Danio rerio: one gene and its partner. The protein of the gene in region 2 purifies or fractionates together with the protein of the main gene of each other region. This does not show direct contact. Links are inferred from orthologs where the notes say so. Each region holds a gene or a part of one and is shown on either strand. Other genes may lie near its edges.

What was found.
Region 1: the proteins of abce1 (region 2) and lto1 purify together in Homo sapiens (affinity purification with mass spectrometry; 4 studies listed by BioGRID and IntAct, with this or other methods). This does not show direct contact. The link is inferred for Danio rerio from reciprocal best matches to the Homo sapiens genes ABCE1 and LTO1.

What each region holds. Positions count from the first base shown.
Region 1 is NC_133182.1:69,607,007-69,610,936, reverse strand, and holds the start of lto1 (protein LTO1 homolog), read right to left. Parts: upstream 2,230-3,930; 5' UTR 2,182-2,229; coding exon 2,123-2,181; intron 1,970-2,122; coding exon 1,864-1,969; intron 1-1,863. UniProt on the Homo sapiens protein: The complex LTO1:YAE1 functions as a target specific adapter that probably recruits apo-ABCE1 to the cytosolic iron-sulfur protein assembly (CIA) complex machinery. May be required for biogenesis of the large ribosomal subunit and initiation of translation.
Region 2 is NC_133198.1:47,448,607-47,452,436, forward strand, and holds part of abce1 (ATP-binding cassette sub-family E member 1), read right to left. Parts: intron 1,739-3,830; 5' UTR 1,673-1,738; coding exon 1,570-1,672; intron 1,473-1,569; coding exon 1,387-1,472; intron 1-1,386. UniProt on the Homo sapiens protein: Nucleoside-triphosphatase (NTPase) involved in ribosome recycling by mediating ribosome disassembly. Able to hydrolyze ATP, GTP, UTP and CTP. Splits ribosomes into free 60S subunits and tRNA- and mRNA-bound 40S subunits.

The DNA of each region.
Region 1 (3,930 bases), on a different chromosome or scaffold from region 2:
CAGTCTGCTGTGGTGACCCCTGATTAAAAAAAAGAGACTAAGCCAAAGGGAAATGAATGAATAATATACATTTCGATTACAATAAAACGCTAAAATGTATTTACTTAGCACATTTTTTTTATGAATTAATTTGTCTATGCTTGTAGATTGTTTATTATATTCTATGAACTCCCCTTCAGAAGCATCCCTAAATAACACACATCGCAAACATTTATTCAGCTTATGTGGTAAAATTGTAGCCATATGGAAATATATAATCACAGAATAAAAACAAAAATTGCAATGTGTAATTTTTCCAATACCGTGCTTCCCTAATTTTATACACACACACACACACACACACACACACACACACACACACACACACACACACACACACACACACACACACACACACACACACACACACACACACACACTCTATCTCCAGCCACTTTATTAGGTACACCTGTTCAACTGCTCCTTAATTCAAATTTCTAATCAGTCCATCGCATGGCAGCGACTCAATGCATTTAGGCATGTAGACATGGTCAAGACAATGTGCTGCAGTTCAAACCGAGCATCAGAATGAGGAAGAAAAAGGATTTAAGTGACTTTGAATGTGGCATGGTTGTTGGTGCCAGATGGGCTTGACTGAGTATTTCAGAAACTGCTGATCTACTGAGATTTTCCCGCACAACCATCTCTAGGGATTACTGAGAATGGTCCGAAAAGAAAAATAAATAAAAAATCCAGTGTGAGGCACTTCTGTGGGTGCCAATGCCTTGTTGATGCCAGAGGTCAGAGGAGAATGGCTAGATAGAAAGGTAACAGTAACTCAAATAACCGCTCGTTACAAATGAGGTATGCAGAAGAGCATCTCTGAATGCACAACACATCAAACCTTGAGGCAGATGTGCTACAGCAGCAGAAGACCACAGCGGGTGCCATCATCTCAGACTGGTTTCTTGAACATGACAATGAGTTCACTGTACTAAAATAGCCTCCACAGTGACCAGATCTCAATCCAATAGAGCACCTTTGTGATATGGTTAAAGGGGAAATTCGCATCATGGATGTGCAGCCGACAATAAGTAAGAGATGAGAGAAAGTCTCCATTTCAAGGTCTGTATTGTCTATGGACAATGTTGTGAAGTAATTTTCCATTGCTGTTGCTTGTGGTATAATAACACTGGACTTATCCTGGTCAGACGAAGTATGAGCATGCACTGAAACACATGCAGCTTTTTATTATCATCACTTCGTCTCCTGCATCTGCTCTTCTCTTGCTTCCTCCTATATTGATAGTAGACTGTTAATTCAGTTGAATATTGGTTAACAGTTTGGGTATTGCTCTGCTGACTTGTTGTCCAAATACCTGGAGAAACTGACATTTCCTGACAAGATCAAGCATCCAGGACTGGATCGTATTTATCTGGCGTGGAGACTGTGGTCTAACACCTTTAACCATTGACTTCCATAGTACGAAAAACGAATACCATGGAGGTCAATGGTTATGTTTTCAGCTTTCATCAAAGTATCTTCTGTTTGTTCCATTTTGGGTGAACTGTCCCTTTACTAATAATGCTTTTCAAGATATGTTGAACTGATTAATTAAGATTGTACAATGCTTGGACAATGCTTGTGTTGTCTCATTGTAAATCACACAAAGTCATTGTGAAAACACAACAGCAAACCCCCTGGCACTGCTTTTCCAGAAGGCTACAGCATTATTCAGAACTTATTCAGTACAATGAACTTAATGCAATAGCTTTACCTACTAAAATACACGAAAGGAATGTATTGATTACGTCCATGTAGGAAAACAAATGGTGATATTCCTTTAATCCAAACCAAGTGAATCTGACATTATGTGTATTTCACCTCTGCACTGAGTTTGGCTCCATGCAGCCGCCCGTGATTTCTACCCTCGATGGTCCCCTGTCGAACTCCCTCGTCAAAGCCCTCCTGATAACCTTCAACATGAAACCTAAAAGAGAAAAGCATATTTATGAGCCTAAATGTAAATTAATAACAGCTAAGGACACTGAACTAACTTAAACACACACTTACACACTGGACTACATTGATGAACACTAACTTCGTGACGCAACAGTTTGTGCGTGACTTTAGTTAACGTTACCTGTCATCGGCCATGATGATGGAGTCAAACAAATCATCATTATTGGGCTCAAATGCCATTTTTACATTAAAATAGCTTGCTTTCCTGATCAGAAGAGTTTACGGGTGGTCTTCCGGAATCGTTCTTCTTCGGTCCTAGCCGAATGTTAACACCGATGGGACTGAACCAACGCGCCGTCTACTGGAAGGAAAGCTAAAGGTTTGCATCACTAACTGTGTGTATTTCTGATCAGATCTTGAAATAAGTTGGATATCCGGTTGTTTGTACTGAAAGAAAGACGTCAGTCGGTAACAATAATATTTAAAGATTTACCGGTTTGCATTTTTAGATCTGCACTGAAGAGTGAAGACCAAATACGTATTTTCAGGTGTCAAATACGGTAAGCTATCATTTACTTATTCTCACAATTTTTATTGTGAATATATCGCTATTTTGTCTTTTCATGGAATATACTGTTCGTGTTTTCAAACGAAGGCTTATTTTGGAGATATGCTAGCATGCTAGCACGTTTACATGCGGTCCTACACTAATAAAACATTACTACTTCGACCATAATAATAATATCGTTAAAAACTCAATAACTACAATAAGTATACATTAAAATGTCTAAAACAATCAATAATATAAGATGTATTAGTATATTTCACCTAAATGTAAGCCTAATATCTAATTTCGACAGTGAATTGAGGAGTATGATAATGTCTTGTTTTTTGTTTTTGTTTTCTGACCAAACACATTACTGTAATTTATATGGCATTATTTACAGAATGTATTTATTTAATAAAATGTCCTTCAGTATAACCGTAGTTCATATAACAAGAACTTGTCAGTCATATTTAGATCAATAAACATTTGATGAAGTGTTTAGACCAGAGATGCCCAAAGTTGGCCCATGGTAACCTTTGATTTGGCACACTATCACATATCAGCCTTATGCCATCTGAGAAGTGAGGGAGAACGATGACAAGGTGGTTGTTTTTTTTAATTTTATTTTTTTATTGCTGAGATACAAAAAAAAAAAAAAAAAAAAACAGTCAACGGAAAGTAAATGATTCAATTAAATGTTTTAAATAAATCAGACTTCTAAAATGTAAATACTGTCACTCGACAGATAGAGGTAGGTAAATAAAGGTAAAGGCAGGAGCAGCTCTGAGCAGTGTATTCAGTATTGAACTCCATTATGTTATAAATGGGATTGTTTATGATTTTACTGTAATAAGTTCATTATAACATCTTAAAATTAAACTAGAGTAGTTAATTTGATTTAAAGTAACATTTTCTAGTTTTTATTAAACATTAAATAAATTAGAAAATTACCCATGGCAAATTTAATGTATACGCTTTAGTATCCAGTTGAATTATTAGCCCCCCTTTGAATGTTTTTTCTTTTTCAAATATTTCCCAAATGATGTTTAACAGAGCAAGGAAATTTTCACAGTATGTCTGATAATATTTTTTCTTCTGGAGAAAGTCTTATTTGTTTTATTTCAGCTAGAATAAAAACAGTGTTTAATAATAAAAAAAAACATTTTTATGTCAAAATTATTAGCCCCTTTTAGCTATTTTTTTCATTATTCTACAGAACAAATCATCGTTATACAATGACTTCCCTAATTACCCTAACCTGCCTAGTTAACCTAATTTACCTAGTTAAGCCTTTAAATGTCACGTTAAGCTGTATTGAAGTCTTGAAACATATCTAGTAAAATATTATTTTCTGTCATCATGGCAGGATAATCAATTATTAGAAATGAGTTACTAAAACAATTTTATTTAGAATTGTGTTGAAAAAAAAATCTTCTCTCCGT
Region 2 (3,830 bases):
CCCTAATGAATCTAAAATGAAGAGTTCTTTTCCAAATAAAGCTCTTCAAGTCATGTGGTAAAACTGTATTCACATCAAAATATATAATAGCAGAAAAACAAAATATGTCAGAAGTCAATGTCAGATTTTTTTCAATATCTTGCAGCCTCAGTAAGACCATTAATGTTCAAAACAAACAAATTCCAAGAGCTTACAATGTAAATCAATGAGATCTTCATAACAGCACAGCAGACTATTTGCATAAAATGCATATAAATTAGCTATCGCAATATACAGTTGAAGTCAGAATTATTTGTTCTCGTGTGAATTTTTAACTTTTTAAAAATTATTTCCCAAGTGTTGCTTAATGGAGAGATTATAACATTTGTTATACTAATCTAAATTGTAGTAGCTAATATCTTTTATCTTTGCCATGATGACTACATAAAATTAGACTAGATATTCATCAAGACACTAGTAATCAGCTTAAAGTGACATTAAAGGCTTAACTAGGTTAAAGTTAGAGTAATTAGGCAAGTCACTGAATAGCAGTAGTTTGTTCTGTAGACAATCAACACAAATAAAGCTTAAATGGGCTAATAATATTGACCTTAGAACAATTTTTATATACATACATAATGTCTAAGTATAATATTTAAAATATTTAAAGTTTTTTGGATCAATTATTTGTAGTTTCAAAGCATATAATACTAAAATGACTGAGAGGTTAAAAATGTTGATATTTAAATGTTTCAGAGCAGGGGTGCCCAAACTCAATCCTGGAGGGCCGGTGTCATGCAGATTTTAGCTCCAACTTGCCACAACACACCTGCACGGATGTTTCTAAAAAGCCTGGTAAGAACTTGATTATCTAGCCCAAGTGTGTGGGATTGAAGTTGGTACTAAATTTTGCAGGACCCTCAAGCACTCAAGTGGTGCTCGCTGCAGAGCCATTTGGGCGAGCTGAGCTCCAGCGAGGGGGAGCTTGAGCTTGAGCTCCACCTTTTTTGCACTTCTTCTACAAGTGATGTCACTGGGGGTAGGGTTAGGGGTGGGGTTGGTGTACGCATTAAAACAGCTTACAGGAGGCAGAACGAGAGCTCATGCTCCCCCTCGCTGGAGCTCAGCTCGCCCAAATGGCTCTGCAGCGAGCACCATTTCCAAGCACTGGGCACTCATGCTTTAGAGGCTTTGGATGATCAATCACGCTGAGGAACAGCAAAAGTAATGGTTCTGGAAATTAATCCTTCTCAAAAGCCTAATTAATTATATCTGATGCATCTGAACAGGATTCTACTAAAATGTGTATAGATAATCCACTAAGCTGAAGCTCACTAATGATAAATGAATATAAACCTCAGAAACATCCATATATTTTTGTATGCATTAAACCTGTTGCTTTAATACCTTAATGCAGATTCCACATCCGATGCAGAGAGACTCTGAGATCCAAACGATTTTACTCTGAGGTGAGACTTCAATACACAGCTTACCTGAGGAAAAAACAAAACAAAAACATTAGACATCAATGATACAGAATACCACGAGCAAATAAAATAAGATCAGCTAAAAACACAGTGTGTTTCTTACCCATCCGCACCACAGGACAGCTCTTCTTGCACTCCTGACGGCATTTCTTGGGTTTGCACTTGTCGTGGTTGACGATAGCGATTCTGGTGTTCTTGTCCGCCATTTGCCTGGTTTGATGTTCGCGCACTGGCGACGCAGATCTACAGGAACAGATGAGGTCTAGACCTCACTACAGAGAGAAGGAGAGTTTTGTGTTTAGTTCCATTATCAGCTTACCTGGATAATTCATGGCAAAAACACATCAAATGTACAAATTAACTAGGCGCTATTGTGGAATATATTGTAATGTGTGAAATGTGTACCGTAAACTTATTTTTTTGAGTGGAGCATTGCCAATTGCTTTATATTTTAACAAATGACTTACTTTTAATATTTCAACACACTAGAATTGTCATTGTTTTTATGATGTATTTTTGAAGGAAAATTTTGTTATTTCCTTAAAGTGTTTACATATTTATATTTTCATACTTAAGCTTTCTTTTTCTGTTACTCAATTGGGATTTATTTTACAGGGTTTCTGCAGGAAATCTACAAGCCTAATGACTTTTTATGACCATTAGGAATGAAATGTTAGGGTGCTTTCACATCTGTAGTTCGCTTCATTTGGTCCGGACCAAGGGTATTAAATGATACATTGTTGCATTTTCTGCCGTCTTTGGGTCGTTTTCACACCACACTGCTGGCTTTGGTCCGAACCAGTTGAAACGAACCAAAATGCGGTCATCTGACAAAATCCACATCACTTATTGGCCAGATGTTGTTGAACATATTTCCTAAACTGCTTATTGATTGGTCAGAATTCATGTGCGGTAAAATGCCTTTGAACTCCCGCAAGTAAACAAAACTGGCAGACACAAAATGTCGCTTTTACTCTGGAGGGACGACTGCGCTGACTGATTGTATTATTGCTTTAGACAAACTATACATTACGAAAATGAAGCGCGGCCGCGGCTGTAAAAAAATGTTTTAATGCATCGCACGTCACTTCAGGAGGAAGGGTGAATTAATTTAGCTAAACTGCAACATGGTCATCTTGCGGAAATATTACCAACGATCCATCAGATAATGTTATTCTCTCTCTCTCTCTCTCTCTCTGTTGGTAAAGCGCTGTCAACAAATATTTTTCCTCCATATCCGATAATGCACAGCGCATCGGCCTACGGCAGCTGAATTAGTCCAAAACGCGAAGTACTTTTTGCGGTTGGACCTGTTTTAGTACAGATCATATTCTCACCACAAACAAACCGCTCCAGGGTTCGTTTGAAAGCGTACCGAGACCACCTCTTCAAGCAGGTCTCGGTACACTTATTCGGTCCACTTTTGGTGCGCACTCGAGTACGATTGCTGCATTCACACCTGCCCAAACGAACCGCACCAAAAGGGGAAACAAACTCTAGTGCGATTCAATCAAACTAAATAAGGCAGGTGTGAAAGCACCTTAGGCTTATGCAGGGTTGAGACTTTTTCTAGCATTATCGTGAGGAATAGTGTAATTGTTTTAATTTTTTTTTTCCTGATTGGGGAATTTAATTTGAAAAACTTGCTGTTAAAATATGTAACAGCTGTTAGGAATTGTATCTCAATAAAAAAAAAACTTAAATATAAAAATAAGATTTTATTGAGATGTATTGTTGGGGACTGTATGATTGTTGGCCCAACTGTATAGCTTTACTTAGACAAAGCAAAATGAAGTCCTATTTAAAACGATTTAAGACCTACAAACTAAAACTGCGGCGAATTTAAGACTTTTTAGGGGCCTAAAACTTAGTTTTTGAAATTTAAGTTGTATTTTGTACACTATAGTAATATGCTTAAAAACAAAATAATCAAATAAAATAAAGATCTTTTCTTTTCTTATAAGATTAATATTTCATTATATAAAGCCCTTTTGTACATTTTCTGGCAAAATTACCTTTATATAACCTATATTGTGAAAGTTATAGTTAGCATAAAAAAACGTTCTCATACTGTGAAATTTTAGTCATACCGCCCAGTCCTATTTACAAACAACAATTTTCTTTAATAAAAAAATAGGTTTATAACAAAAAATACATCTTCAAACTCAATAAATCATACTTTAAAGAAAAATCAAATACTACTTTTTAGAGTTATTTTAATAAAAATTTAACAATTTATGTAGAATAATAATAATCATTTATTAATGTCTGATAACATTTGAAATGGAGCTTTAAAAAAAAGCATACAGTGCTCAGCATTAAGGAGTTAAATTAGTATATTTTTACAAGATGCTTCACAATAAT